Alligator mississippiensis: one gene and its partners. The protein of the gene in region 1 purifies or fractionates together with the protein of each later gene. This does not show direct contact. Links are inferred from orthologs where the notes say so. Each region holds a gene or a part of one and is shown on either strand. Other genes may lie near its edges.

The links.
Region 2: the proteins of CCNA2 (region 1) and PKMYT1 purify together in Homo sapiens (affinity purification with mass spectrometry; 3 studies listed by BioGRID and IntAct, counting the BioPlex papers as one, with this or other methods). This does not show direct contact. The link is inferred for Alligator mississippiensis from reciprocal best matches to the Homo sapiens genes CCNA2 and PKMYT1.
Region 3: the proteins of CCNA2 (region 1) and CKS1B purify together in Homo sapiens (affinity purification with western blotting; 7 studies listed by BioGRID and IntAct, counting the BioPlex papers as one, with this or other methods). This does not show direct contact. The link is inferred for Alligator mississippiensis from reciprocal best matches to the Homo sapiens genes CCNA2 and CKS1B.
Region 4: the proteins of CCNA2 (region 1) and ANAPC4 purify together in Homo sapiens (affinity purification with western blotting; 3 studies listed by BioGRID). This does not show direct contact. The link is inferred for Alligator mississippiensis from reciprocal best matches to the Homo sapiens genes CCNA2 and ANAPC4.

Annotation. Positions count from the first base shown.
Region 1 is NC_081825.1:114,577,773-114,585,501, reverse strand, and holds the start of CCNA2 (cyclin-A2), read left to right. Parts: upstream 1-4,714; 5' UTR 4,715-4,809; coding exon 4,810-4,938; intron 4,939-5,022; coding exon 5,023-5,245; intron 5,246-7,319; coding exon 7,320-7,432; intron 7,433-7,729. UniProt on the Homo sapiens protein: Cyclin which controls both the G1/S and the G2/M transition phases of the cell cycle. Functions through the formation of specific serine/threonine protein kinase holoenzyme complexes with the cyclin-dependent protein kinases CDK1 or CDK2.
Region 2 is NC_081830.1:725,392-732,293, reverse strand, and holds the start of PKMYT1 (membrane-associated tyrosine- and threonine-specific cdc2-inhibitory kinase), read right to left. Parts: upstream 3,012-6,902; 5' UTR 2,907-3,011; intron 2,872-2,906; exon of another isoform or gene 2,638-2,871; 5' UTR 2,628-2,637; coding exon 2,259-2,627; intron 2,153-2,258; coding exon 1,659-2,152; intron 1,466-1,658; coding exon 1,359-1,465; intron 1,015-1,358; coding exon 842-1,014; intron 758-841; coding exon 534-757; intron 7-533; coding exon 1-6. Other genes in the region: GREP1 (glycine-rich extracellular protein 1), read right to left, coding at 5,236-5,261, 5,816-5,908, 6,000-6,080, 6,495-6,557, 6,714-6,761. UniProt on the Homo sapiens protein: Acts as a negative regulator of entry into mitosis (G2 to M transition) by phosphorylation of the CDK1 kinase specifically when CDK1 is complexed to cyclins. Mediates phosphorylation of CDK1 predominantly on 'Thr-14'. Also involved in Golgi fragmentation.
Region 3 is NC_081838.1:12,771,001-12,777,730, reverse strand, and holds CKS1B (cyclin-dependent kinases regulatory subunit 1), read left to right. Parts: upstream 1-4,634; 5' UTR 4,635-4,841; coding exon 4,842-4,900; intron 4,901-5,264; coding exon 5,265-5,392; intron 5,393-5,568; coding exon 5,569-5,621; 3' UTR 5,622-6,216; downstream 6,217-6,730. Other genes in the region: FLAD1 (FAD synthase), read left to right, coding at 6,681-6,730.
Region 4 is NC_081825.1:39,477,499-39,484,775, reverse strand, and holds the start of ANAPC4 (anaphase-promoting complex subunit 4), read right to left. Parts: upstream 3,001-7,277; 5' UTR 2,965-3,000; coding exon 2,857-2,964; intron 20-2,856; coding exon 1-19. Other genes in the region: rRNA N6-adenosine-methyltransferase ZCCHC4, read right to left, coding at 6,832-6,955. UniProt on the Homo sapiens protein: Component of the anaphase promoting complex/cyclosome (APC/C), a cell cycle-regulated E3 ubiquitin ligase that controls progression through mitosis and the G1 phase of the cell cycle.

The DNA of each region.
Region 1 (7,729 bases):
ACTTTGTTTGTCACATTTTTCTTTACAATCTTCTCTGCTGTTTTTATGAAATGCCCACTGAAACAAAAGCAAGGCCCTGGCTGTTCCCAGCTTGTGTTCATAAATCCTATTAGTACAAGCACAAAGCTTGGTAGGAATGGAGTTCAGTTGATTGAGTGTAACAAAGCAGTAAACGATTATATAGTGTCCTGGCAGTTGTACCAAATGATGAGAAAACAAAAACATGTTTCACAGTTCTTTAATTTTGAATTGATTTTGGGATTTAAAAAAACAAACAGATAAACTATTTCCAGTTGTTTAGTTGGTGACATTTTCTGATAACTAGAATAAATTTGAAGGGGAAATATCCCTGCCAAGGCATTTGGGGTGTTGTATAGTGTTTAAAATGTCTTTACTCTTCTGTAGACAAGGTTCCTTGGGTGAATCTGATATCTTTTATTAGACCAACCCAAATAGTTGGAGAATAGTTATTAAGCAAGCTTTCAGGTTCAAAAACCCTTCTTCAGGCTAAGGAAGTTTCAGGAGCTGGTGTGTGCTCTTCCTGGATGGAATGAAAAGTATCTTCCTGGATACTAAAAATCACGGACTAAATACAGACATTGGATTTATGACACATTATAACCTGCCTGACATCTGACTCCCCAGGTATCTCTCCACTATTCATCCCCCTTCTCTTCCCGCCCCCCGCCTGTCTCTCACCCATTGACTCCTCAGTCTACATTTTCACTGACTACCCGTCTTGTATGCATACCAGCCCAGCCCCTGGCTTCTTTACTTTTCATTCCATCCAGAAAGAGCACACACCAACTGCTGAAGCTTCCTTAGCCTGACGAAGGGTTTTTGAACCCGAAAGCTTGCTTAATAACTATTCTCCAACTATTTGTGTTGGTCTAATAAAAGATATCAGATTCACCCAAGGAACCTTGTCTGCCTATGTCCTTCGACCAACACGGCTACAACCTACACCCTTTACTCTTCTGTAATATACTTAGTAAAACCCAGTCAGTTCTAAAAAAGATGAATTCAACCTTAGTATTTTTCAGATGCCAAAATGCTAGGATCTTTTACTTTTGTTTTGTTCACTGTTTATCCTTGTGCTCTACATTCTGGGAAAAGGAATAGTTCAAGAGCCAAATAGAAAATGATTAACTGATTATCTTGCAAGACTTCTACAAACAGAATAGTTGTGCCTGCATTGAAACTCACCCCCAAGATGGAAGAGTCCAGTTATGTTCTCACAAAACAAGAGATCTCAAGGGAAAACCCTGGTAGTTGATATCGAGTCTTTAATGACAATTAAGCTGGGCTGCTCAGCTGGAAGGCATCAGAAGCTATCCATCAGTGCTTTGGGCTCACTGCTGTCAAGAGTGCTGATCCTGCAGTGGTGTGGGGGAGGGGGCATGCACCCAGTGCAGCAGTGGAGGAGGATGCATGGGGACGAGGTATTGGAGCGCTATGCAGTAGCAGCATTGTTGATGTGGCCTCTAGTGCAGCCCACAGTGTTCAGGCCCCAGCTGCTGAAAGGATGGGCTGACCTGATCTACAGTTTCCAACACTGCAGCTCGCTGCATTTGTATTTTCCCGTAAGATCTACCATCCAGTATGATTCATCTTAACACTTAGGTTTGACAGTATAATTTGCAGGGCTCTGAACTATGCTGTTATTTCTTCATCTTCACAGAAAAAATGCGTTGTGTTTGATCTTTATATAATCTAAATTGTGTTGGACAAGGAAGCCCAGCTTACGTGTGTCTGTAGAGTAGTTGGCTTTTGATCTAGCAGAAAATAGATCCTTTTTTCTTGCAGTGAATTATGGTGATGATTAAATAAAGAGGCACAGAAATACGAACTAAAATTATTGTGCACTCCCCTCCCCGCAAAAGAAGCTAGCCAGTTGGTGGAGCGGGTAATAATGGAATTGGCAATAGCCTGTTGCCTATAATGGTATATCCCTTCAGTCTTCAGACAAAGCAGAAGAACATGATCCTTCGAGGTGTGAAACACCCAAACTCTGATCTTGAAAAATAGTTACATGCTTTGCTGAATTGTAGCCTTAATGCACATACTTAAAGTTCATCTGTTTTGAGCAAAGCACTTGAGTATGTGTTTTCATTTGAAGGCAGTGAAATGTACGTGTGTGTCTAAATGCTTTGTTCACTAGGGGTGAATAGCCTTTTGTTGGGTGGGCCAAAGTCATCAGCACCTTCCAGGATCAAATCTGTAATGCTTTAACTCTGGTTGCTGTCACTGGGAATGAATGGTAAAACATCAAAGGAGGGAAAGGACTTGACATTTTGAAGTTAGTGGAAGTTTTGAGCTAGATCCACAGAAGAACATTAAGTGCCCACATCCAAAGTTTAGATCGTCAAAACCTGCTCAACTATCACCTAGCCCTGGAGGCAGCTAAAATGTTTCCTAAGTACTCAGATATTTCAAGGGTGTTAGCACTGTTAGGTCTGCAAACACGATTCACAGCGTAAACTCAGAGATTTCAAACAGGAGTCCACGGTGCTAGAAGAATTCTGATCTGTTGCAGTCTTTCTGATTCCTCTGCAACAGAAGGATTGTCCAATTGTTTTTCCAAAGTAAAAATAAGTGAGTGAATACTAAGAGCTGGCCTTTTCTGAGGGGTGCCTTGAGTCTAAAAAGGTTAAGAATCAACTGTACTACCCACTGGAAGAAGCAGTGCTAGATGTGACAGAATCCAAGTCATTTTGTGACTCTAAACCCTTGTCTATAGTTTGGGCTCTAAGTCTTTCCAGATCCAGCCCTAATCAGCAACAAACAAAGGTCATTAGCATCTAAAAGTTGGTTGCTGTATGAAAGAGCTGTATGATTGCTCAGGGCTCCAGACTTGGGCCTGCACGTAAGATGGCTGCCAATGGATTTGGAAGCATCTGAAGCCCCCGGATGAGGTGGAGGATACTTGCTGGTAGCAGGGCTACATATGGTTCTTGCACGATTCAAATGAATTTGGATCTGATCTGGGTAATTTGACTTGGGACGTGAAAAATTTCCTTAAAAAAAGACTTCTCTTTGCAAACAATTAGCTCTGTACCTTTCACACAAGCACTAGGTTAACATTAAATGTTTTTAATGGTTCTCTAACCTACCATCTAATGTTTCTCTCGCATAGTCTCTCTAGCATACTCCAATATCCCTATGGATTTCAAAACAATAATGCCCAAAGTGTCCTGATCTTTACAAACATGGTTGTTTCTTTTTTAAAGATCCTATTCCCCATGATTTATGACCTAAAATACACTATTCACCTTATCAGTCAAGGTCTGAGATTTCTTAGTATGGAGAAACCTGGGAAAGGATGTTGGCGTAGCCCTCCCTGGGGTGAAGGGTTACAGTGAATCGAGGCCTGAAAGCTCTGTGCCCTTGTAACAAGGCCATGTGTCACTGGAGGGGGGAGGGAAGCAACAGGTGCCTCAGGTTAGTTCTGGGTCCCTGGTGTAAAAAAGTGCTAGTGGATGAGTGGCCACATGCATCAGTGACATGCGGCTAGCCCTGGGCCAGTCTGCTAAAGTGGTGTTGCAGCAGCATTGCCAGGTCTTAAATATGAAATTATCATATTGGAAGCTCAGAATTATTGCATTTATTGAGAAACTATAATTCACTGAAAAAATGTGCAAATGAATATGCAGGTAAGTCTTATTTACTTTATATTGCTCACAGTATGTCACCAGTGAGTGAGAATTGTGTCAAAGTTGAAGCATCTCTATTTTGAGATGTCATAGCAAGTGCTGACAGCAACCCTAGAGGCCTCTTGAAGGCTTAGATCAAGTGTAGTGGCTTAACCTGGCAGGGAAAATACCATGCATCTGTGTCCATGAAGGCATTTTCCTGAACTGCTACACAAGAGAACTGCCCTTCTGGCGTGGTTGCAGTGGCTTTAAGCCCAGTTTATGGAAATAGGAGTCTCCTCCCTTGCTTGCTGGGGGGGCCTTATGGCTGACAGCAAGTGAAACTTGGGGGCATCTGAACCCCAAGCCTCTGGGCTTGGGCTGGCAAGTAGGATGCCCTCCAAAGGTTTTGGAAACATCTGAAGCCCCAGGTGCGGGTGGAGGATGTTTGCCCGTAGGGGGGCGATTTCTGATTCTGGACTGACTCAGATTTGGAATTGATTTGGCTTGGAACATGAAACATTGTCTCCCCCCCAAAAAAAGACACGGACATACAGTTTTTGAATGATTTAAAGGCTTCAGAACTGATCTGGCTAATTAGACCTGGACCATGAACCTCCCCCCCCCCAAAAAACAAACACCAAACCGCTAGAAGCCAGTTAAAAGTTCCTGGTTTTGCATATGCTACATTAATTAGCCGCCTCAAGCATTATCCTACGGGGTAGTGGTAGAAGGGGTGAAGTTATGGTACAAATGCAGTAATTCTCCTACACCGGCAACACCGCGTCTCCGGCCCTAAGAGGGAGCCTCGCAGGGCCGGGGCAAGCAAAGAGCAAGCCCGCACCGCTGCGCGCTCCAGAGCCGGGACTCAAACGCCGAGGCCTCGCGCGGCTAGTGACTCAGGTGCCTGGGGGCAGAGCCCCGGCACTACGCAGCCGCCATGGGTGGGGCTACGGCGCCGCTCTAGCAGGACCCGCTCACTCCTAGGGCGCGCTTGATCCTCGGCGGCTTCCGTCGCCCCCAGTCACGGCCGGCGCCCGGCCAGCCCCGCCCCCCGTCCCTCATTGGCGGATTCAAGAGTCGCGGGCTCCTTGAACGCGGCGGCGGAGCGGGAGGCGGCCGGGTACGCTCCGGACGAGGCCGCACGGCGCCCCTTGCGCCCCCCACCTGCGGCAGGATGTTGGACGAGCTGGACCCGGAGCAGGAGCAGGAGAACGTGCCCCCCGTGGGCAAGGCGCTGCCGCCCGCCGTGCCCCGCAGCCGCACGGTGCTGGGGGTGCTGCGCGAGAACCGCCCGCGCCCGCAGGCAAGGGGGGCGCCACGGGGCGGGGGGGCCGCGGGGGGGCGGTGGTGACGGCCCGCCGGCGCTAACGTGCGTTGCCCCCCGCAGGCGGTCGCGGCGGCGGCGGCGGGCCCGTCGCGCAAGGGCGATGGCGGGGCCCGGGCGGTCCGCGCGCCGCAGCCCTTCGCCGTGCACGTGGACGAGCCGGACGGGGGGCGGCGCGGCCGGGTGGGGGCCGCCAAGCGCGCCGGGCCCGCACTGCCCGTCGCGGGGCTCCCCACCGACAGGAAGCCGCTGGTGCCGCTCGACACCGCCATGGACCTCAGCTGCGGTGAGTGCGGGGCGGGGCCGGCCCGGGCGGCACCTCCTCCTCTCCCCCCCCCAAGCAGGTGCTGGGGGCGGGGGGAGCTGTTCTGCCCCCGAGGGAAGGGGACCTGACTTGTGGAAATCTGGCTCTGGCTGGCGCCCCCTATCGCCCCCCCCCCCCCAGGCGCAGGTCAGATTAGGGGGTGCCCACCCAGGACGGGAGGGGGCAGGAACTGCATTTGCTCCAGCCCAGACTTGTAGCCCCCTGCTTTGGGCAGGACTGTCCCTCTCTCCACGGTCCTAGGACGGCATCTGGGGAAGCAAACTCGGGTTCACAAAAGCTTGTGCTCTGGCTTGCTCACATCCTCCTGCTTGCACTCCTGTTCTCGCTCTCAGGCTGTGCAGGTGCAGGTCGGCCCTGACTTCAGGCTACCATGGCTAAACCCCCTCAAACCATCCTTGACAAAGATTAGGATCTTGGGGCTCTTCTACATGTGTTGGGGGAGCTGCACTTTGTGGCTCTGAGAGCTGCTCTAACTAAAGCACCACAAACTTTCATGTATCGGTGTCCCTGCACTTAAAAATGGCAGCAGGAGCACTTGAATTTAAAGCACTTTTAAGTGCAGGGACACTGATGTACAAGATGCAGGAGGCTGCTAGAGCACAGCTGTTGCTGTATTCCAGCAGACTCTATTAATTGAGTCGGTTCCAGCACATCGGAGCAGCCTCTACACTTGTGTAGGTGCCTACAGGGAACTAGGGCTAGAAGGAGCTTCACCACGTCCTTTGGTCCAGTCCTTTGCTCCAAGCAGGACCATCCCTCTGAAGCACCCTACGACAGCATTTGATGACATGAACTTGGGTTCACAAAAGCTTGCTTTCACTTTCTCTTTTCCCTGCTTCCTTTCCCCTGCCCCCTAAAAATCTTATTTGGCGTATAAGGCGAGGTACAGACACTGCACATAAACTGGTACAAATGATCAGAAAACGGTGTAAAGCTGTAATAGAAGTTTAGCATGTGCAAACCGGTTTCAAACTGGGGGGGACTTGGTCTAAGATAGATCTGGATAGATGCTGTATTAGATTTAATCAGTTTAGGATAGAGCAGGATTTCGAACTTCTGTCCCAGATCCTGCAGCAAATTGTCTGCTTTGGCTGTCCTCCATGGGTGAGCACTATTCTACAACCTAAATATCCTCTTTTTAACTGATATTCCAAGTGTCCCTAAAGTCATTGTTCTTCATTGGTGTCTTATGAAAAGCTAACTTATGAAAATGTTGCTTGTGCATCTGCATGCGACTCAGACCAGCTTTGGGGATTCCCTGAGTCCAGCAGTTCCTTTAGCCTGTAACTTACAAGCTTTGAATCCCTGAAACAGCCAGATATCCCTTCCCTGTGCCTTACCCATCTGCTTTCCCATGAATTTCCTCACTCTTCTTGCTACTGTTACTTATGAGCTGCTGGCCCTCTTGAACTCTCAGCCTTGTCAGGGTCTGGCTGTAGCAGCTCAGAGCTTCAAACTCTGAAAGGCTTTAAAGACCTAGTGCAAGTTGCAAAAACTAGAATACACACTGGAAACTTCCATTTGTGCAAGTACTAAATGGTTCTGGCAAGTTGACTAGAAAACTAGGGTAGCTCAGGTAGACACTAAAATAACATAAGGCAAGAGAAGTCCAACAGTCTGCCCAATTAAAAAATTCTGGCAGAAGACTTCTCAGTTGCCTAATTTTGTGGCTTCAGCTAAAATACATGCTAACATCAGGCTGTCCCCTGACTTGCAGGCTCCACTTCAGAGTACAGGTCCATACTCCTATGAAGATAGCTTACTATGCTAGTATGAAGCGTCTTCCACCAATTTTTCTTTCTCCCACCCCATAGATGAAAAAGCCCTTTGCAACAAAGCCCATAGTTGAAAAAGCCCTTTGCAACATTTCTCTGTTCTTAGTGCAGCCTAGGTGGCTCAAAAAAGGCAAAATGCCAAAAACAAAAAAAACCCTAGGTCCTGGGTCACCAACATAATCGTTCTGCTCAATGCAGTCACTGTACCATGCGGTCTGAGAACTTCTGTAGGTTTAATGTGACTACTGTCTTGCACTTAGATTCTCCAAGTATTATGGATATATCTATAATCCAAGATGTGGAAGAAAGAGTAAATGTTAATCATGTGCCAGACTACATTGATGATATCCATAAATACATTAGGGAAATGGAGGTAAGATGCCATGATTTTGTTTAAACTTTTAAGGCAGCTTAGCTCAGGATGGTGAGGCTTGTGGGTCTAGTCCCTGGAGGGGTGGCAGCTCAAGTAGGAGCTTATAATTGGAGAACAGACTGAGGGGAAAGGGGAAGAAAAGTGAGCTTCCTGTTGAGCCCTTCTAGAATAAAAAAACCTGGCTGGAATATGCACTGAACATAAAAGAAAGGGCTTGAGAATGGACTCTGAAGGACCTTGGGCACCAGTATTTGGATTCTACTTTACGTATAGTACAAGTATTTAATTTGTATGTTA
Region 2 (6,902 bases), on another chromosome or scaffold:
GGGGCCCTAGAGGAAGGGGAGAAGCAGAGAGGTTTCAGAGACGGGGGGGAGGACCCAGGTGTCCGGGCTCCCAGCTCTACCCCATCGCACCCCACTCCCCTCCCAGAGTTGGGACAGAACCCAGGCATCCAGGCTCTCAGCCCCTCCAGGTCTACCCCAGCAGGTGCCACTCCTCCCCCCCCACCCCACCAAGAACCCAGGTGCCTGGGCTTCCAGCCCCTGGTGCTCCAATCTGCCAGCCCCCTCTCGCATGCCAGAGAACTCAGGCATCCAGTCCCACTGCTCTACCCCGCTAGATGCTGCTCCTCTCCCAAAGAACCCAGGTGTCCGGGCTTCCATCCCCCCCCCCAGTTCCCCCACAAGCCCCAACTCCCTTCCCCAGTTGCCTCCACTCAACTCTCAAAGACTCCAGGCACGTGCGCTCCCAGCTCCCTCCCACTCTCTTCCCAGAGAACCCAGGCGCCCAGGCTCCCAGGCAGAGTGAAAGGGGCTGGGGGCAGGTAGGGACCCAGGCATGGCCCCCCACCACTCACCTGTCCTGGAGGGAGCTATCCCTGGAGCTCCCCGACAACTGGAACACCTCCAGGGCCAGGCTGCCCGTCCCACCTTCATCGTCCTCGTCCTCCTCCCAGTCGCTGGAGAAGCTGCCGTAGGCAGGGAGCAGCGGGGAGCGGGGCGGGGTGGTCGGGGGGCCCTGGCGCCAGTGGGCGAGACTGCACAGTGCCAGGCAGACCCCCCACAGCAAGCTCATCAGCCCCTGTGGGTGGGCAGGGAGAAGGGGGGAGATTAAGTGGGGCAGGAGGCAAAGAGCACAGGAGGCAAGAAGCAGGGGGGCACTGACCTGGAGCAGCACAGCGCCCCACTCCAGCCCAGCTTCAGCCAGCAGAGCGAGGCGGCGCCAGCGGCCTGTGCAGCGCATGAGGTCAGACTCCAGAAGGGTCTCCGCTGAAGGGCGGAGCCGGGGGTCAGGCTCCAGCATGGCAGCCAACAGGGCCTGCAGCTCCAGTGACAGGCCTGGGTGGGGGTGGGGGGGAAGAGGAGATGATAAGGAAGACCTCTGCGGTGTCCCGGCCCCAGGCACCCTTGGACCAGGGGAGGACCCAGGCATCCGGGCTCCCAGCACCCCCTGCTTCTCCCCACCAGGCCACACTACCCACCTGGACCTCCAACTCACCATACTCCCCTCTGCCCCCCACAAACACAGGCATCCCCAGCTCCCAGACTTACCCACTCCAACCCTCCCCAGACCCCAGCCCTTACCCAGAGAACCCCAGGATCCTGGCTTCCAGCTCCCCTTGCTCCCCGTCCCCCCGGAGCTGGGGTGGAGCCCCGGCATCCAGGCCCTTCCCCAGACGTACCAGCTGTGAACTCAGGGGGCAAGTATCCCTGCCGCAGCTGCTGCCAGGCCTCACCCCCTGTGGGCAGCTCCAGGTTGCAGGCGACCTCCAGGATGGTCATGCCCAGGCTGGCGGTAGGGGGCAAGAGTCACGAGTGGGGGAGGCAAGATGGGCAACTGACCCCTCCCACCCCAGGCAACTGCCCCGCCCAGGTGGCTGCAGCCCACAACACCCAATGGGAGCGTGCCTGGTCAGTCAGAAGAGGGTGGGGTGGGAGCGGGGGCAGGGGGAAGTCGGGCACCGGGACGCCGGGGCCCTAACCTGAAGACGTCGGCGGCAGGGCTGTAATCCCCACACAGCAGCTCGGGCGCCATGTAGCGAGGGTCGCCCTCCTGCGCTTCGCCCGGCTCGGCCTGGCCCAGCTCGAGGGCCAGGCCAAAGTCGCCCAGCTTGCACACGCCGCGGGCCGTGAGGAAGACGTTGGCCGGCTTGACGTCCAAGTGGACCAGGCCACAGACACGCACGTGCTGCAGCGCCCGCAGCAGGTCCCAGAGCCAGGCGCGGACGCGGCGCTCAGGCGGGGGCTGCCCGCGGGCCTCGCAGTGCTGCAGCAGGCTGCCCGGGCACAGCTCCGTCTGCAGGTAGAGCTGGCCCCGCTCCTCCCAGGCCCGCGCCAGGCCCAGGCAGTTGGGGTGGCGCCCCACGCGCCCGTGCCGCCGCGCCTCCGCCAGTTTGCGGTGCCGGTCGGCCGCCCCCCGGAAGGGCTCCACCGACCGCTTCACCGCGTACAAGCGCCCGTCCGCTCGGCTCCGCACCTGGGGGAAAGCGAGGGGCAGCCTGGGCACCCGGACCCCTGCGCTCCTGCCCCGGCCAGCCCACACGTCCCGCCACGCCCCAGCGCTCCTCCCCCCGCCCCCCTACCTTGTAGACCTCGCCAAAGGAGCCGCGGCCTAGGTGGCCCAGCACCTGGAAGCACTGGCGCAAGAAAGACTCCCGCTTGGCGGGGTCGTACAGCAGGTCCGCGGGGGGCGCGGCCTGCCCGGGGGCCCCCCGGCACCACACGAGGCGGGCCCGCGGCTGGCTCCAGGGCTGGGGCTGGCAGCCGGGGAAGACGCGGCTCACGGTCGGGGGCACTTTGTGGCGCGGCCGGGACGGGAGGGAGTAGCCCGACGCCCGCTGGGGCCTCTTGGCTGAGAAGCTGCCCTCGGCCTCGCGGAAGAAGGCCGGCACGGGCAGGGGCGTGCGGCTCAGCCGGGGCTCGGGGCCCGCCTCGTCCGGGGGCACCGGCATGGCGTCAGCGCTGGCCGGGGCAAGAAAGAGGAGACATGGTTAGCAACATGGTTAGCGCCCCGCGCCCGCACCTGCTCCCCTCCGCACGAGCAGGCGCATGGCCTACTCCGGGCGCCCACGTGACTGGGGAGCCTGGGCCCCTGCACTAGGGGTGAGGGGCAGGCTGGGGCTGCACTCCTTGGCATGAGCAGGAGGGCGCTGGCGGGAGAGGAAGAGAGGCAGCCCCGTGGCATGAGGGGCTGGGGGGGCAGGGGCGGGGCGGGGCGGGGCGGGGCTCACCTCCAGGGCCCGGATGTGGCGGGTCCCCCGCGCGGGAGGGCAGCACGCCCCCCTCCCCCTCACCCGTTCCCGCGCGCGGGCTCCCCCGTCCTTTCCCGCCTTGCCTCCAACTGCCGCCCCGCCCGCGCCCCCTCAGCCAATCCGAGCCCAGGCACCGCCCACATCGCCCCACCTGGCTGCCTCCCCCGGCACCGCCCCCCGACTGCGCGCCTCAGGATTAGCCAATCAGGGGGCGCCTCGTGCCCCGCCCCGCTCGCCCGGGCGGCTGTCAATCAGAGCCAACTCCCCGCTTTAAAGGGATGGAAGGGGGCCGCGAGGGTTCCCAGCATCCTCTGGGGCAACCAAAGCGTGGCCAAACCAAAGCGCCCCCCCCCCCGCCTCGGAAATGCCCCTCTACCCTGCCAAATCCCCTCAGACATGCCCCCCAAATCCCCTCAGACACATCCCTTTACCCCCAAATCCCCTCAGAAATGCCGCCCAATGAAGTCAGCCCCCCAGGGATGCCCCCTTCACCCCGCCAAAACGAGGGGTGAGGCCCCCGAAGGCAGCCCTTCTACTCCCTAGGGAGGGGCCAGGGCCCCACAACCCTTGCTTTTGGGGTGCCCCCTTCACCCTTTATATAAGGGGCAGCCGTGAGTTACCCCCAGCCCCTCCACCGCCCCCCCCAAGGGTGCCCTGAACTGAGTTCACCCCCGATGCATCACCCCCAGAGGGGGGCACGAGGGACACTGCCCATCGCCGAGAGGTGCAGACAGCGCTGGACGTACAGGGCCTGGCGCGGCCCCAATCTCGGTCTCAGGGTAATTCAGTGGGGTCCAGATGCGAGGGGCTGCCCATCTTAGCCCGGGGGGGCGGGGCGGGGTCTGGGCAGTGGGAGGTGGACCGCGAAGTGTGAAGGAGAGCCTCCATAGTGTATGATGTGCACATGTGCGCGCGCACACACACACACACACACACACACACACACACAGAACCCAGGTGTCTGGAAACAACCCGCCCTTCCCACCCACCCACACACACACACAACCCTGTTGTTGGATGGACACACATGCACACAGGTGTCCAGGACACCCCCCCCCCAATATGCACAACCCAAGCGTGTAGAACACCAAACACGCTTGCCTCAGTCTCCTCCAGCAGGGGGCAGCAGTGCTCAACCATCCCCCCCCCCCCAACCCAGCAGTCTGGGCACATGACACACACACAACACCCAAGTGTCAGACACACAGACCCTAGGTGTCCAAGGAACACACACACACACACACACACACAGAATGCAAGTGTCTAGGATATACATACAGGTGTCTGGGACGAACACATACACACACACAACCTAGTTGCTAGACACACACACAAATATGCATACACAACCAAGGTGTGGACGCACATACACCCCATGTCTGGGACACGCACAAATGCACACACACACACATACATCCCAGGTGTCTCAGATATACACACATACAGAACCCAATTGTTGGACACCCCCCCCCTCCGATGTCCGGGACACACACATACACAGATACCAGGTGTCTTCCACCCCCACCCCCCCCATAACTCAAGTGCACACAAATACACATTCTCACACATACAACCTAGGTATCCAGGGGGGACACGCATATTCACACACAGCACCCAGGTGTCCGGCACCCCCCCCCCCAGGCATCTGACACACACACACGCACAACCCAGGTGTCTGACACAAACACCCCCCCTGCAAGAGTCTGATATATGCACGCACAACCCAGGTGTCTGATGCACACCCCCCCCCCGAGTGTCTGATGCGCACCCCACCATGTGTCTAATATGTACACACACATTCCCCCCTCTCAGGTGTCTGACGTCTGCACCCCCCCAGCGGTCTGATGCGCACACACATTCTCACCCACACAGCCTAGGTGTCCAGGACATACACACAGAACCCAGGTGTCACACACACATTTTCACACACAACTCAGATGCCCAGGACACCCCCCTACCCCGCACATCTGGAAACAAATCTTTCAAGACACAAGCTCTTTGAGGGGCTTTTTATTGCCGACACACTCACCTCCTGCTGTCAGCAGAGAGGGGGCAGATACAGGTACCCGCAACACACTTCCTACTCCCTTGTGGACACCCCTTTTTCCCCAGAGGGCGGAGGGGGGGGTGACAAGCCTAGGATGACAAACCCCCCAAAATTGCAGGTTTTTAACATGTAAGAATCCATTAAAAAATCCCAACGAGACGATAAGTTATAGCGGGATAATTTCTTTCCCTCGTAGCACCACACGTAGCACCAGATGTGGCAAGGTGGGTCCCCCTGCGGCAAACAACTGGCACCCAGGACTCAACACTTCCCAGCTGGGCAGCGGGCTGAGCGGAGAGAGAGCAGGGATCAGCGCTGGATAGGAGGTAAGGTTACATACACACACACACACACACGCACAGAGGATGTAGGTATCCAGAACACACAGAAACACACACACAACCTAGGTATCTAGGACACACAAAAATATGCACAGTCACACACAGGAGCTGGGACACGCACACAGGACCCAGGCATCCAAGATATACATGCACATACACACACGCAAGACCTAGGTGTCCAGGACACATACACATACCCTTAGGACCCAGGCATCTGGAACACACCCTCCCTGGTATTCAGGATAAATACGTGTATGTATGCTTACACACACACACACATACACACACACACTCAAAACCCAGGCATCTGGGATATGTGGATCCAAAGTGGACCCAGGTATCTGGGAAACACCTACACGTGCACACACACGCGCACGCACACACACAGGCATCTGGGACACACAGAGGCCAGTGTGATAGAGTCTAGGGGGGTCCATACAGCACCCAGCACCCCCCAATCTTAGTCTGGGGTCCGACAGGATGGGGGCCCTGCTCCTCACCTCGGTAGCCATTGCCCAGGAAGCCGTTTAGGCCATACTTGAACTCCTTCCCACCTATGAGAGGGAAAGCTCCCGTCACCCCCCCGTCTTGCCCTGGGGAAGTGGGGAGGGGAGAATCGTCCGTCTCCTGTGGCAGTAGCGGGCCCTAGCCACACCCACCAAGGGACACAGCACCCCCGCCTACCATATGCCCCTGGGGCGAGGGCAGCAGGCACCGGGCCATACCCACCAAGGGCCGGCCCCACGGAGATGGGTCCGTAGGCACCTGAAAGGGCAAGGGAGAGGGTTGCTGTGGGGCAGAAGCACAGGATGGGGGGACATTTTATGGGGCAAAAGCAAAGGTTGAGGGCCAGTAGCACAGGCTGGAGGGCAGTGTGGGGCAGAAGCATAGGTGGGGGGGCATTTTATGGGGCACAAGCACAGGCTGGAGGGCAGTGTGAAGCAGAAGCACAGGCTGGAAGGCACTATGGGGCAGGAGGCCAGGTCGATCTGGCTGCTCCAGGGGTGGGCGCAGCCCCACCCTCCGCCACCGGGGGGCTTCATAGCTCTGCCCAGCCCTGTTGGCACTTTGCCCACTCTGGTTTCTCTTTCCTCCATCTCTATGGTTTCCCCATTGCCAAGTCCTCCTGGCCCTGCTCCCATCTCCCAGCACCCTGGGGGCACCCAGGGCAGGTCTTGCCTGGAGCCATTCCATTGGCCTGGAGATCTCCCCCATTCAGGTATCCCAGTCCGTTGCCATTGGCTGCAGTGGGGAGAGAGAAGGGATCAGTGGGGATATGGGACCCAGGCATCCCGGGGCAGGGTGGGGGGAATCAGGAGCCACTGATGTTCAAGTGCCTGCCCATCCCACAGGGGGCAGGAGACCCAGGCATCCGGGTGGCCCCTCCCCAGCCCTTACCCTCCAACCCGGCAGGCTGTGCCCTGAACGTTGCCTGTCCTGAACCACCTGATGGGGACACAAGGGGGAGGGGTGGGGGGCAGCGGATAGAACCCAAGTGTCCGGGCTCCCCCGCTCCCTGGGGGCTCCACCCACTGGGCATGGAACCTGGGCATCTGGGCGGAGATGGGGACCCAGGTGGCCAAGGAG
Region 3 (6,730 bases), on another chromosome or scaffold:
ACAAGTCATGTCCTGGGGAGGTGCCGGAGCAGCAATGCTCAGCCCCAAGTGACACAGTACAGGATGAGGAGCACAGTGGCCAAGTCATGCCCCAGAGCTGTTCACAGCACTGCAGAGACCTTGTGCGCCCCCTGAACCAGGGTGCTGGGGCACCGCCAACCACACAACAGCCCCAAAGAAGCAGGCAGAGGCTCGGATCCGGCGGAGAGGAGAGGAGAGGAGGGACCGGCGGGGACGTGGAAAGGAGCCCGGCTGGTTGCAGACCCACTCGCCTCACCAGAGAGAAAGGAGAGGAGTGAGAGAAGGCAGGCAACCCGTCACCAAAGCCAGGCACCCTCCACCGCAGCCCAGCCTGGCCGTCCTTACCACGTACTCCATCTCAGCTGCTGGGCTGGGCCCCACACAGGCTACAGGTACCAACAGCCCCTGTCCTCCTGGCGTCCCACCTGCATTCGGTGACAAACAGGGAATTAGCCAGCGCCGCCCTGTCCAAGGGGCCTGGCAGGCCTGGCACATCCCCTCTGCCCTTCTGCTCGCCTGGAGAAGGCCCTGCCTGACCTGCTTCCGCAGGCATTGCTCCTGCTGCCTGGCCAGGCCTGCCCTGCCTGGCCTCGGGTGACATGGCTGTCCTCTGCGACACAGGGGGAGCAGGGACCTCATTCAGATCCTGTGTGGGCAGGAGGCTGTGATGCATGAGGCCCGGGGCAGGTTGCACATGGGATAAGTCTCGGGATCTCCAGTGTGCCTTGAACGCCGTCCTGTGAGCCTGGCCCCATTGCTGGGAGTCACCAGGGTAGCAGCAGCCCTGCCTCCCCTGTCTGGTGCTCCAGCCCCGATGGCCTGGGGACTCCTTCCTGGTTCCTCAGGGCACGTGCCCAGCTCAGAAGCCAAGCTCAAGAGATGAGCTTTCAGTCCCCGGTGACCTCCTGGACTGTGGGGACCAGGACCTCCCAGGGCCCACCATCGCCCATCCTCCGGTGCCTCCCCAGGGAAGGCAGGAGCAGTGGTGGCTGAACCCCAAGACCCTGCTCCGTGAGTGGGATTCAGGGCAGCACCTGGAGTTGTGAGCTTGGGAGCCCCCACAGCCCCATGGACACTTGCCACCCCTCTGTTGCCAAAGCAGCATTCGAGGTCCTAACTCTGCTCAGGGCCAGGGCAGCTCCAGCAGCAAGGAGCTTGCCAGCTGGAGCCGGGGGCTGGCTGGACCCAGGGGAGGGAGGCCACGCAGGGGACAGCCACAGCTGTGTGGAACAAGGGCGGAGACAGCTCCTGCCCAAAGAACAAAGCAAGAGGAAGGGGCCCAGCTCCTTGCAGCCCCCCCGCCCTGCTCCCATCCCCTCTCCGGAGCCATCAGGCTTGGCACGGAGAACAACGCCAGCCCAGAGCGGGAAACAAACATGATTTACTTCCTCGTAGGACTGTGCCCTTATCTGGGGCCTGCAAAGCTGGAGTGACGTGATTCACCCAGAGGCAAGAGATAAAGAGCCTGTCTGGCCCTGGCCCCACAGACCTGCACAGGCAGGGCCTGGCCAGGCCCCATGGCAGCAAAGGAGCTGTGATAACATGACCTTTCCCTGCCCAGGCAGTAATCATGACAGGCTGGGCAAGCAGAACAACACCCTATCTCCTGGGCTGCCACCGAGACCAGTGCCCACACCCCACCGTGAAGACACCCCAAAACACAGACAGGCTCGTGCCCATGCCAGCTCCAGCTGGGCACCAGGGCCCTGAGCTAAGCGTGATGCCCGGTGGAGGTGGGAGCTGCTGTGCTCCTCACAGTGGTTGCATCACAAACCACCTGTGTGGCATGGGCACTGCAGCAGCCCTGACATGATCCCCTGCATGGCAGCCCCAGGTGCATACCATTCAGAGCACCTGGGAATCCCAGCCCCCCAAGGCCACCTGAGGAGCATAACAAATCCAAGGAGAAAGGCAGCGCTCGCTGTGCTCAGCCCAGCAGCCCAGCCCATTAGTGAGCTGTGGCAGCGTGGGGCCTGCGCGGGCAGAAGGGCTTGAGGGGTAGCCCGCAGGACCCTAGCACGTGCTGCGATCCACCTCCCCTGCCTCCCCACGGGCCCCTTGGTGCCTGGGCGTGGTTCCCGCTTGCTCTGCCAACTGCAGACCCTGCTGGGCATGGATGGCACCACCAGACTGCAGCAATGGCTGCCAGGTCAGGCAGAGTCGGCCAAGCAGTGTGGCTGGGGCTCACGCATCTGTTCCCCACAAGCCTGCGACGAGACCTGATGACCCCGGTCGCAAGCAGAGGACAGATTTGGGCTGGGCAGCCAGCAGGCAGCCCCCGCCCTGCAGCCATGCATCACAGATGCCTGCAGCTTCTCCATGGCAGCCTTGGGCCACAGCAGCCATGGTTATGCTATGCACTACCTCCTTGGCTGCATGCAGCTCCCCAGGCTAACAGCAGCCTCCTGAGCCCCTTCAAGCTGCCCAGAGCAATCCCAGAACCCCCACGCAGCTCGCTGCAGGGGCTGAGGCACCCCGAGCTTGGTGCTGCACTATCAGAGCCTTTCCTCCCTGCACATCCTGCCACCGCACCCCAGGGAGACTCTTAAAATACATGCGAGAGGAGGCTCCACAAAGCAAGCAGCTGGGTGCTAAATGCCCCTAGCAACGGTGCCCGCACCGTGGTGACTCATGACATGCGTGCCTGCCACAAGCGCTGGTGCCGAAGCTGCTGGTTATGCAGCACTGGGCTGAAGACAACCACAAGAGGCAGGAAGCTCCCAGGCAGGGCCACGGGCAGGGGCTGCGTGGGAAAGGGGCCCCACACCCACAGCCGGGCCTGAACATGGACTGGCTGCTACATCCCGCAGGAGGGGTAGCACATGCCCAAGGCGCACCACAGCTCCCCGACGCATAGGAGGTGGGAGCCGTGCATCTCCGGGTCACGCTCAGTGCCTCCCTGCCAGCCCAGCAGAACCGAGCACCTCCCATGCAGGTCTGGCAGCTCCCTGCCCGTGGAGGTGACGACCAGCATGTCTACTACAGGCACGAGAAGAGACCTTTATTATTTCCTGCTCCAGGTTCCTGTACCTTAAGCCCCAGAGGCAACAACAGCCAACTCAGCTGCTGACTGATGCAGGCAAGAGATGCCCCATGTTGCTGCAGCCTTTAGTCACAGCCCCCCACAGGCTTGCTCACGCCGCAGCCTGACAGAGATCTCTGGTACCCTGGCCCCCAGCATCGCACTGACAGAACCACGAGCAACTCAGGGACAAATGTGTCCTTCCTGGGCCACGGGCTGGAGACACCTGGGTCCCACACAACTCAGGGAGCAGCTACGGCCTAGGTGTGATTTGGTAGGACCGCTCACCCCCATGGAGGTGCAAGAACCTGCAGCACTGGGGCGAGAGCAAGCCCCCCCCAGCACTGCCCAGACCCCCTCCAGCTGGGGGGGGGGGCTGCTCCCCCAACCTGCCCCAGTGCTAAGGGGACAGCGGGAGGGAGCGGATGCGGCGCCTGCCAGAGCAGGCAGGAGAGCGCCTGGGGCTGGGGGAGGAGGCTGCTGGGAAACAACAGGAAATGGAGTCGCACCAGGAATGCTCCCAGCCGGGGGAGGGGGGGGGGGAGGTGAAGGCGCAGCCCAGGCCACCCCGGTCCTGCTTCCTGTCCCGCTGGAAAGGAGCTGGGGAAACTGCCAGAGGAAGCCGTGATCGGGACGAAGCCCGGCCAGGGAGGGAGGGAAGGACACCCCCACTGTCCCCGGCCTCCTCGCATCACCGATTACTCGGATGGGACTGTTTGACCACCCTTGTCCCTCCTGCACACACTCCCACTTGGGACCCCCGGGGCCAGAGCTGTCCTCGCGCCCGCTCACGGCCCCACACCTGGCTCAGCGGCACCAGCAGCTGGGAGGCGCTGGCCCTGCCTCCCCTTCCCGCCTGCCCCATGGCACCCGCCTGCGCCACCCGGGACGTCTCAGCACTGGACATGGATGGGCAGCCCTGAGCACTGTGCACCAGCTCCTGGTGTCTCCGTCTGTCCAGGGATGCCGGGAGCAGGCCTGGGGGGCGGTCGTGGGGGGGCAGGAAATTGGGGCATCCGGGCGAGTCCAAGGGCAAGCAAGCGCACGCAGGGGGAGAGGGGGCGGCCGAGGGAGACAGAGGGGCCCGGATGGGGCTGGCGGAGGAGCAGGTCTGAGCAGAAACGGGCCCGCGGGGAGGGGGCCAAGAGCCCACACGTGATGTGGGGGCAGGATGGGGGCATGGACAGGATACGGCCGGTAAGGGGGTCAGGGGACAGGGTCGGGGCCGGCCCGGGGTCGCGGAGAGGGAAGGGAGACCCCGGGGGAACCCGGCAGGATCCGGCCCGGGGGGGTGGTCATGGTAGGATTGAGCCCCAGGAGGTCTCAGCAGGAACGGGCCTGGGGGGATCTCGGGGGGCCCGGCAGGACGCGGGGCCCGGGCGGCGGCACTCACCGGGGCACCATGGGGCCTCGCGCCCGCTGCGCTCCCACGGCTCCGGCACCCACTTGCCCGGGCCCCGCCACCCACTTCCGGCCCCACTCCCGCAGCGCGGCCTCAACGACCCCGTCACGTGACGAGGGAGCCCCCACGGGCCACGGCCACCTGGACCAATGAGCGCCCTTGCAGGGGTGCCCGCCCCCCGTGCGCGGCGCTGGCCACTGAGCGAACCGAGGAAGTGAAGCCGGACCAATCACCTCCCGAGGAGCCCCGGGGGAGCGGGGCTTGCTCTGCTCGCGCCGCCCGGGCCAATGGGCGCGCGGGGCGGCGGCGTTTGAAAGCGGCGGTTGGGGGCGGGGCCCGCCTGCAACTGCCGGGCGCGCGAGGGCTGTCGGGAAGGGGGTGGACCCGCAGGCCAGCATGGCGCACAAGCAGATCTACTACTCGGATAAGTACGACGACGAGGAGTTCGAGTACCGGTGAGAGTGGGCGGCCGTCCCCTTCCCCCGCCGGGGTCTGCGCCCGTTGCCGGCGCGCGGGGATGACGCCATCACCCCCTTTCCTGGGCTCGCCGACCCCGTGACACCACCACCCCCTCTCCTGGGCTCTATCCCCCACCCCTATTCGGTGCCGGCGCGTGGTGATGGCGCCATCATTCCCTTTCCTGGTGTCTTTGATCCCTGCTCGGTGCCGGCGCATAGTGATGACGCCAACTGCTCCCCCCCTCCCGTGGTCTGCGACCCCTGCAAAGTTCTGGTGCGCGGTGATGACGCCTTCGGCCCCTCTCTTGGGGTCCGGGCCAGGTGCGGGCACGCCGTGATGACGCTGTGGCTCCCGTTGCAGGCACGTGATGCTGCCCAAGGACATCGCGAAGCTGGTGCCCCGGACGCACCTGATGTCGGAGTCAGAGTGGCGCAACCTGGGTGTGCAGCAGAGCCAGGGCTGGGTGCACTACATGATCCACGAGCCTGGTGAGCCACTGGGGTGGGCTGGGCCAGGTGCTCCATGTCCATTCGCCTGGCTCTGCCCATGGCTGGGCTCAGGCGTCTCCTCCCTGGGCAGGTGGGCAGATGCTGGGCAGCAAGAGGCTGCCCCGTGTGGTCTGCGAGTCATTTCCGCGCGGTCCTGATGCTGCTTCTCCCCGCAGAGCCGCATATCCTGCTGTTCCGCCGCCCGCTGCCGAAGAAGCCGGAGAAGTGATGCCTCTGCCCCAGTGCGCTGCCTCTCCCTTTGCCACGGCTCTTGCTGGAAAGCACCTTCCCTGCTCCTCTTCCCTGTCCTCAGTGTTTGGAGACATTGCTCAGAAACGCTGTCTGAGGCTGGTGTCCGCAGCCGAGGAAGTGCCAGCCTGACTGGCCTGACTAGCAGGGCTGGTGGAGGAGGACTTGGCTCCATGACACCTACGATTCCTGCCTGCCGAGGGGTGCAACTGTAGAGGACACCTGGTGACGGTGGGGGGGCACAGCTCTGCGCTGCTACCCCGGGCTCTGACTCAGGCTGGGGGTGCACCATGCCTGCTGTCAGCACAGACATGGCACTGCCACCCCTACCCCTGCCACCCTGGACCCTATCTTCAGCCAGGAGTGCAACCACTTGCCTATCATCAGTGCAGAGAGCTGGGGGGGGGGGAAATACGGCCTCTTGCCCCCTGCGGGCGTAGTGCTACCTCCAGCCAGGCTGGGAGCTGAACAGGACAAGCAGCCCAGTGCAGTGTCCCTGCCTGCCCCGTGGTGCCAGCGCAGGATCTGTGGTCACCCCGGCCGGAGCCCATCTCCAATAAAGCAGGTTGGATGTGGCAGTCTCGTCTGTGGGTTCCGTGGGCACGCCCCCCACCCGTGTCCAGCGTGGAGTAGGAGGCGCCGGGACCCTGCGGAAACCCTGTACCGGGGCGCTCTCCACGCCGGGCCGATCTATTCCTCCGGGGCGGGGGGGTGATTTCCCAGTTCGCTGGTTCAGCCTTCCGGGAGCGCAGTTCTCCGAGCGCGCCTTTGGCCAATCGAGGCCCTCCCCGTCCTCGAGTGGCATCTTCGTTGGCCAATAGCAGGGGAGGGGGCGGGGCGGCCTACGCCGGGGGCGGGGACGGGGGAGGTCCGGGGCGCAAGGCCGGACCGGACTGCTGGGATCTTTCTCGGCTCGGGGGAGGGCGGCTCTTGGGGCCCGGACGCTTGGTGCTCTCCTCGCTGCCCCCTCGAGGTGACCCCGCTAACTGGCTCCCGCCCGCGCCCGGCTAGGTGCCGGCGGCTGCTCGGGGCCGCGTCCATGCGCTGGGGCCTGCGCGTGGGCCGGGGCCTCCTGCACGCCGCGCGGGG
Region 4 (7,277 bases), about 75 Mb from region 1:
CTAGTCGGTGAAGTAAAACCTGAAAAAAAAAAGCTTAAATTTAGTCAAAGAAAGCACATTTTTCCTTTAACTGAATCTTGTAATCCAGCAACTAAAGAATCACTTTCTATTGGGCTAAAACAAATCCTGTATCCAGTAGGCACACTGTATCCTGAGTGTTCCTATCAAAAGTCCAGTTATTTTCCATAGTTTGAGAGCATACTCTTTACTATGAAGCAATGAAAGTAAACTGTGCTGTGTATGTAGTCTTGAAGACTGTAATCAAAATGAGAGCTTCCATTCCAACTTAGATAGAAACTGTAGTATGGAAACATTACAGTTGAACATCCTATCCTTGGATGCCCAAGAATATAATCACAGAGGTCAACTGTCAGATGATTACATGATTAGCTTAGAAAGTGGAGGAGCAAGGGTAAGTGGAGATGAAAGGAGATGGGGAAGAAGCAGCTAAAATGACAAGTTAGATAAGCTATTAGGCCTGATGACATCCCTCCTAAAGCATTTAAGGAAATGGGTGAAGTAACTGTCGTCTTTCAGAATTCATGACAATCAAGTGAGCCCCCCCAAAAACGGAAAAATATGGTGCCTATCTTTTAAAAAAGTGAAAGAAATTCTGGGAACTACAGACCAGTCAATCTAAATTTTATGATACTGGAGGTTATCTTCAAATAATTAATTTGTAATTACCTGGGGGATAACAAGATAAGTAATAGCCACCATAGATCTGTTCACAGAAAATAATTCCTTAATAAAGTGATGGGACCTGTAGACAGGGGAAAGGGGGGTGGGGGCAGCAGAGGGTTTGATAAAGCTCAGTGTTAATAAGGTGCTGGACACCATCATCCACAACAAGCTCATACGTAAACTAAATACAAGATGGATGTATAACTGGTTAGATAATCATGATTAAGAAGTACTTGCTGGAATATTGCATCCAATTCTGGGCTCCACAGTATTAAAAGGATGTGGAAAAGCTAGAGAGTCCGGAGGAGAGCCACACACATGATTAGAGGGCAAGAGAACAGGCCTTATGAAGAGAGGCTGTGAACCATGGGACTCTTCAACCTGGAAAAGCGCAGGCTCAAGATCTGGGGGAATGCCTGTTCACCAGAGTGCCCCAAGGGATGACAAGGTCAAACCGTCACAAACTCCTCCAAGACCACTTCAGGCTGGACATAAGGAAGAACTTCTTTACTGCCCGAGACCCGCAAGGCCTGGAGCAGGCTGCCACTAGAGGTGGTGCAAGCACCTACTCTGGACTCCTTTAAGAGACATTTGGACATTTATCTTGCTGGGTTTTTTTGACCCGAGCTGACTTCCTGCCCCGGGACACAGGACTGGACTTGATGATCTCCCAAGGTCCCTTCCAGCCCTAATGTCTATGAAATCTATGAAGAACAATAATCAGTGGTTCTAAACCAAAATTGAAAAAGGAATCAAGTGGTGTTTCCCAAGGGTCTGTCCTGGGTCCAGTACTGTTCAGTCTCTTTATTAATGACACAGAGGGCAGGACTGAATGTACATTTGTACAGTTACAGATGCCACCAAGCTGGGTGGGACTTAAGCACTTTGAAGGACAGAATTAAGATTCAAAATAGCCTTGCTCAGTTGGAACAAAAGTCCTGAAATAAACTGGAACAAATTCAGTGAGAACAAGTACAAAGAACTAAATGTAGGTTGGGAGAGTCAAGTGCACAAATACAACACAGGGAGTCACGGCCTTTCCTGAAGTACTTCAGCCTGGATCAGAAGTTCGAGTCAACAGTGTTACTGCTGCAACCCCCTCTCCCTGCAGTAATGGGTTGTATTAAAAGGAGAGCTGTATGTAAGTCAATTAGGGAATGACAATTACTCCCCGGTGTCTATATATCACAGGACAGGAAGCAATGAGCTTAAACTGAAACCAAGAAAATGTAAGTTGAATTCAAGGGAAAACTTTATAACCATGAAAATGGGTAGGCATTGGAACAATCACAGAGAGGCTAGATCTCTGCAGTGGAGGCCTTTTCACTTCAGGCTGACAAACATTTGCCTGGCACTATCCTGCCCTGAGCAACAGGTTGAACTGCATGGTCTACTGAGGTCCCTCTATTTTTCTATGATCATCTAGAAAATTAAGTTAAAACAATGGTTCCCAATCTGTGGTACGGGTACCACCAGCAGTACGCAGACAATGTGTCAGTGGTACGCATTAACAGGTTTATTATAATTCCTTTATATGACAAAAACTTGCCGGTGGTACTTAAGATTGTATCGTTTTAAATTGGTGGTGCGCAACCCGTCAGAGCCTGGGGACCGCTGGCTCCAGTGCCGCCACAGCACTGTTTGCTTTCAGCGCCCAGTTGGTCTAATGAAAGGTATCATTTTGGAACCAAGAGCTCAAGTTTTTTGTATTTCTTGTCTCAAAACTTCACGTGGAGATGAACTTTGACACATGGGTGAAATCACAGGCCAAGTTGGACACCCTGCTGGGCAGCACTAGTCCCTAGCAGGTCCAGGAAGGTGAACCTGAAGAGACGCTCTCCTGTCAGCCGACACCGTGGCCCCACGCGCTGTACTGCCTGCAGACGAAGATGACCCCCTCCCCAACATTTAACACGGGTAGTGGCGGGGCAGGCGGCTGCTGTGGCCCAGGGTCGGAGCTGCCCGCCCTGCACCCGCCACTTCCCCCTGCAGCCGCTTCCCTCACGCGCAGCCTCCTCGCCCCTCCCCGGCTGCAGTCCGCGGCTGAGCAGAGCACGGCCCGGCCCGGCCCGTGGCGACAGAGGCCGCAGCCCGCGAGCTGAGGCTGTGCTGGGCTGGAGCCGGGTGAGGACCAGGCGCCAGGGCAGGGAGGGGGCTTGTGGCCGTGCTTACCTCCCCGGCGCGGTTGGCGAGCGCGATGAGGTCCCGCTTGGGGGACCAGGCCATGAGCGCCACCTCCTGCGGCAGCTGCTTCTCGCCCACCTGACGGAAGGCGGGCATGATGGCGGCCTGCCCGCCTGCTCCCCTCCGCTCCGCTCCGCTCCGCCCCGCGCCCCGCACCGCCCCCGCCCCCAGAGGCGGTGCTTCCCGGCCCCGCCCCGAGCGCGTGTCCCCGGGGCTCCGCTTCCAGCGGGCGGAGCTGGCTCCGGGCTCTGCCTGCTCGGCGACGCGGGAGCCGCCTGGGAAAGCCGCTCCCGGGCCCCGGCCGGCTGCGGGACCTGGCTGCTCGCTCCAGGGCCCTGCACATAAAATGAACCGTTGCAAACAGCAGCAGTTCATCTGAGCAAAACCCGGACGCTTGCTAAACAAAATTTTTCCCTAACTCTTGAAGCTGGTCTAATAAAAGATATCACATTCACCCCAAGAACCTCGTCTGCCCTGTCCTGAGCCCGACAGCGCTGCAACCAAACCCTGTTGCACACCTTCAACTCTCCTATGGAATACCAACTTTCGTTTCTCCCCAGGAGAACTTGTACAGTCTTTTCTCCTATGCCTGAAGAAGGGTGTTTGTGCCCAAAAGTTTGCAATGAAAGATTTTGGTGGGGCTTTTTTGCAAAAATCTAGTTGGTCTAATAAAAGAGATCGCCTCTCCCACTAAGTCCCCATACACTTATACACAGACAGTTGCAAAACTTAACGCCTACGCCTCCAGAAATGTAACACCTCACCCAGTGCGCTGAAGGCCGGACAGACAATATGCAGGAGCAACCAAACAACTGAGCTCCAGAATGAAACACAGCGGAAATCTGTCAAAGACAAAAATACCCAAGGACCTGTGGGTGCGCACATCTCGCAAGACACCTGCTCCCTCTCCAATCTCTCACTTCTAGTCCTCAAAGGGAATTTACAAAGCACCTTTGGCAGAGGAGCCAGTGAACTTCATGAATGACTGGATAGAAAAAATAATGGACTAAATATAGGCAGACAAGGTTCTTTGGGTGTATCTTTTATTAGACCAACTTAAATAGTTGGGACAAATTTTTTAGCAAACTTTTGGGTTTAAAAACCCTTCATCAGGCTGAGGAAGCCTCTGCAGTTGGTGTGTGCTATTCCTGGTTGGATTGAACCCTGGACTAAATACAGACATTGGATTGATGGCACATTATAACCTACCTGCCATCTCATAACCTCTCTACATTTTACTAGCAGCAGTCAACATTTCCCTCTTCCCCTCCCCACCACCTACCTGTCCGACACCTATCGTCTCCTATCACCTTGGATCCTCACTAACACGTTTGCATTTTCACTGACCTCAATTTTGCATATTGGCTTCTGTTCTACCCTGGACACAAAACACCAGCAGACTCTCTCTATACCCAAAGAAGGGTGTTTGTGCCCAAAAGCTTGCAAAGAACAATTTTTCTGATTGAGTTCATCTAATAAAAGATGTATTAACCCAAAGAACCTTATCTGAGAGACATATGTGCACATTCAGACACAGACACATGCACAACTTTGGATGGTTCAAGTCTTGTGTAAAATGTTTTACAAAAATTGATATTGTATTTTTTGATCTTCCAGCATTTTGTAGTAGTAAGATCACATGCGGCACTGGCTCAGTGCAGACACCAAACTATGCTGTTGCATGTATTGATTAGGATGACAAATTGTCCTCAGCGTGGTCTACAGTCCCTTCTGGTGCAATTCCTGTTTTTTGAGTATGTATTTACCTTTGTCTAAAGCAGCAAAAAGTTGGAACCTCTTTTCACTACTGGGAAGAGAATAGGATGAAGGCATGTGGCATTTACCCAAATTCAAGTTCACATTGAATTTGAGGTGACTCCCCCTCCCCCCCAATTTAGGTTCTATACACAGAAAACGTATAAATGGGTTATAATTTTCCCTGTATAAAATATAATTATTGGAGGATCATCTTAAATTCATCCCCACCACTGCAACATGAAAAGCAATGGTAGCAGGACTTGTAGGGGTCAGGCAACAGGGGAGACAGTGGGGGTGTAGACAATACAGTGGCAGGGGGTGGGAGAGTCCACATATTCGGGTTTTCCTGGACGTCTTCTTTTTGGATCCTTCGATCTCCGCTCAGGCGTTTTTTTCAAATATGAACAAATGTCTGGGATTGTGCTCTGCTAGTCCTTTTTCAACATCAGTGCTGGTAGAACTGCATTTCCCAGCTTGCCCTTGTAGCATTTGTTTACTAGAGATCCAGGTTTTCCATGTGCTGTGGAAAAACCTGGATTTTCCTTTTTAGAGAAACCTAGGCTTTTCCCCTTGCAGGCTAGCAGCCATCCAGCCTACAAGGACCTGCTTGGAATGACTGGAGACACATGCACACAGCATAGAGCCATGTGTGGCCAGCATAGAGCCAGACAGGGTGGTCGGCACAGTGATGGCAGCTGGATGCAGGTAAGTCTACGGGTAGTGGGGGTTGGAGGGGCAGGGATGTGTGGTGTGGAGGGGGATGGGAGGGGGTGTACCTGGTGGTACTGGGGGAAGGTGGCTGGGCACCCGAAACTAAGAAAATATGACATGGAAACATAAAATAGAGTACACAGTTATCTACCAGGTCTTCCTAACGTTTCAGTCCTAAAGAGCCAATACAGGTCTGAAGTAATAAAATGGATGTTTCACTTATTCATGACTAACTGAATTATTATTAATACCAATAATAGTAAAATACCTTTAATGCTGGTGAAGATATACAAAAGAGAAAAACACCCCTCCAATGAATCTGCAGCAATTGCACTACATCATCTTTTAAAATTATAAATAGAACACAGTTGACATGAAATTCACTGAGTCTTAAAGAGTCATCTTAGTTATGACTATTTTTTCTCTATTCATTTCATATATGTTTCAATCACAGTATCCAAGAAACAGCAAGATGACCTAGGTCTGAAAATTAGTAGAGGAACTGCTCTTGGTACATTCCTTAAAAAAATTAAGTATTTCTCTGAAAGGCTGTGTACTGTGGCTTGGCAGGTAGGAGTTTGTTGTAGCTAAGTACTGTAACATGTTTGGTTTGAATTAAAAAACCTATAGTTATAAAATACATTCTTGTCATTGCATTTTATTTATTATTTAGTTTGTTTTCATTTTGTTTTTACATGACATTCACACATTTAGGACAACATCAAGAATAATTTGGGCAAGCTGGCCTTGAAGCTCAGCCTCCATCACCACTAGCCAGTGAAAAGATTACAAGTTAAAGTTTAGTTATTAAAATTATCTTCATAAATGAAAATAAATAAAGACATTTGGTTCAGCTTATAATAAAGTATTATAAAATCTGGGCAGGAATGTCCTGTGTTCCTATTATCTTTCTAAATGTAGCCACTATGGATATAAACATATACTTAAGTCCTAATTTATCTGGAACTTCCAACATACTCGTTTCCAGGCCTGCAGAGACAAAACCAGCAAACAAGTGGATAACTAGCAAAAGGATTATATAACATTTGTTATCTACATGACCATGCTGGATGGTGGGTTTTAAGAGTGAGCATGTGGGGGTGAAGTGGAACGATGTTTGTAACAGACAGCATTACAAATATATTGGTCTTTTTTCCCCCTAAACAGTGGGCAATACCAAACTAACCAAAACTACTATAACTTCTGTCCCTTTATTTTAGTGGTATTTTATAATATTATTTCCACTTATAAGTTTTGCGCAGTATGGGCTGACATATATAAGTTATTTTCTCTCTCATTTGAAATAGTTCATGAACAGAGTAACAAGCTTTTGTCCCAGTGCCATTGAAACTCTAAAGGTAATTATATAAGGGGAAATAATTTCCAATTCAACTAGATTTTATTCTGAAAGATCATACTAACATTTGCTGTAAATGAAATCAAAGACTGGCTGCAAAAATCTTGAGTAACTAGATGCCAAGAAGAAAGAGTGATTCACTCTTTCTTGTTTTTTATTTTTCCTTTCAAGACTCTCATTTTCCTCTGCTTCACAGATGGTTTTTTAATGGTACCCATTTTTAGCTTCTTGTTTTTCATTTGCCTTTGCTTTCCTTCAGCTCTGCAAAATCAAATCACAAATACATTGTCAGAGTATAGTAAATTGTACAATAGGGTAAATGCACACAGAAACACAATTAACTGAAGCTACCATTCAAAAGTGTGGTCACAAAAAAGCTAAATGAAAAAGAAAAACAAAAAAGATTAAGTACATGCGATATTTAAATTAGTTTCGTAATTCATAAGTTAATCTACTTTTACTCCATTAGTGACATTTACCATATTTTGCATACAGCTTGCCCCAGAGTACAATATGCAGCTTTAACAGAGGCTCTATTAGAAGTGCATATTAGTGGTAGGCAGGGGAAAATTCTTCAAGTAGC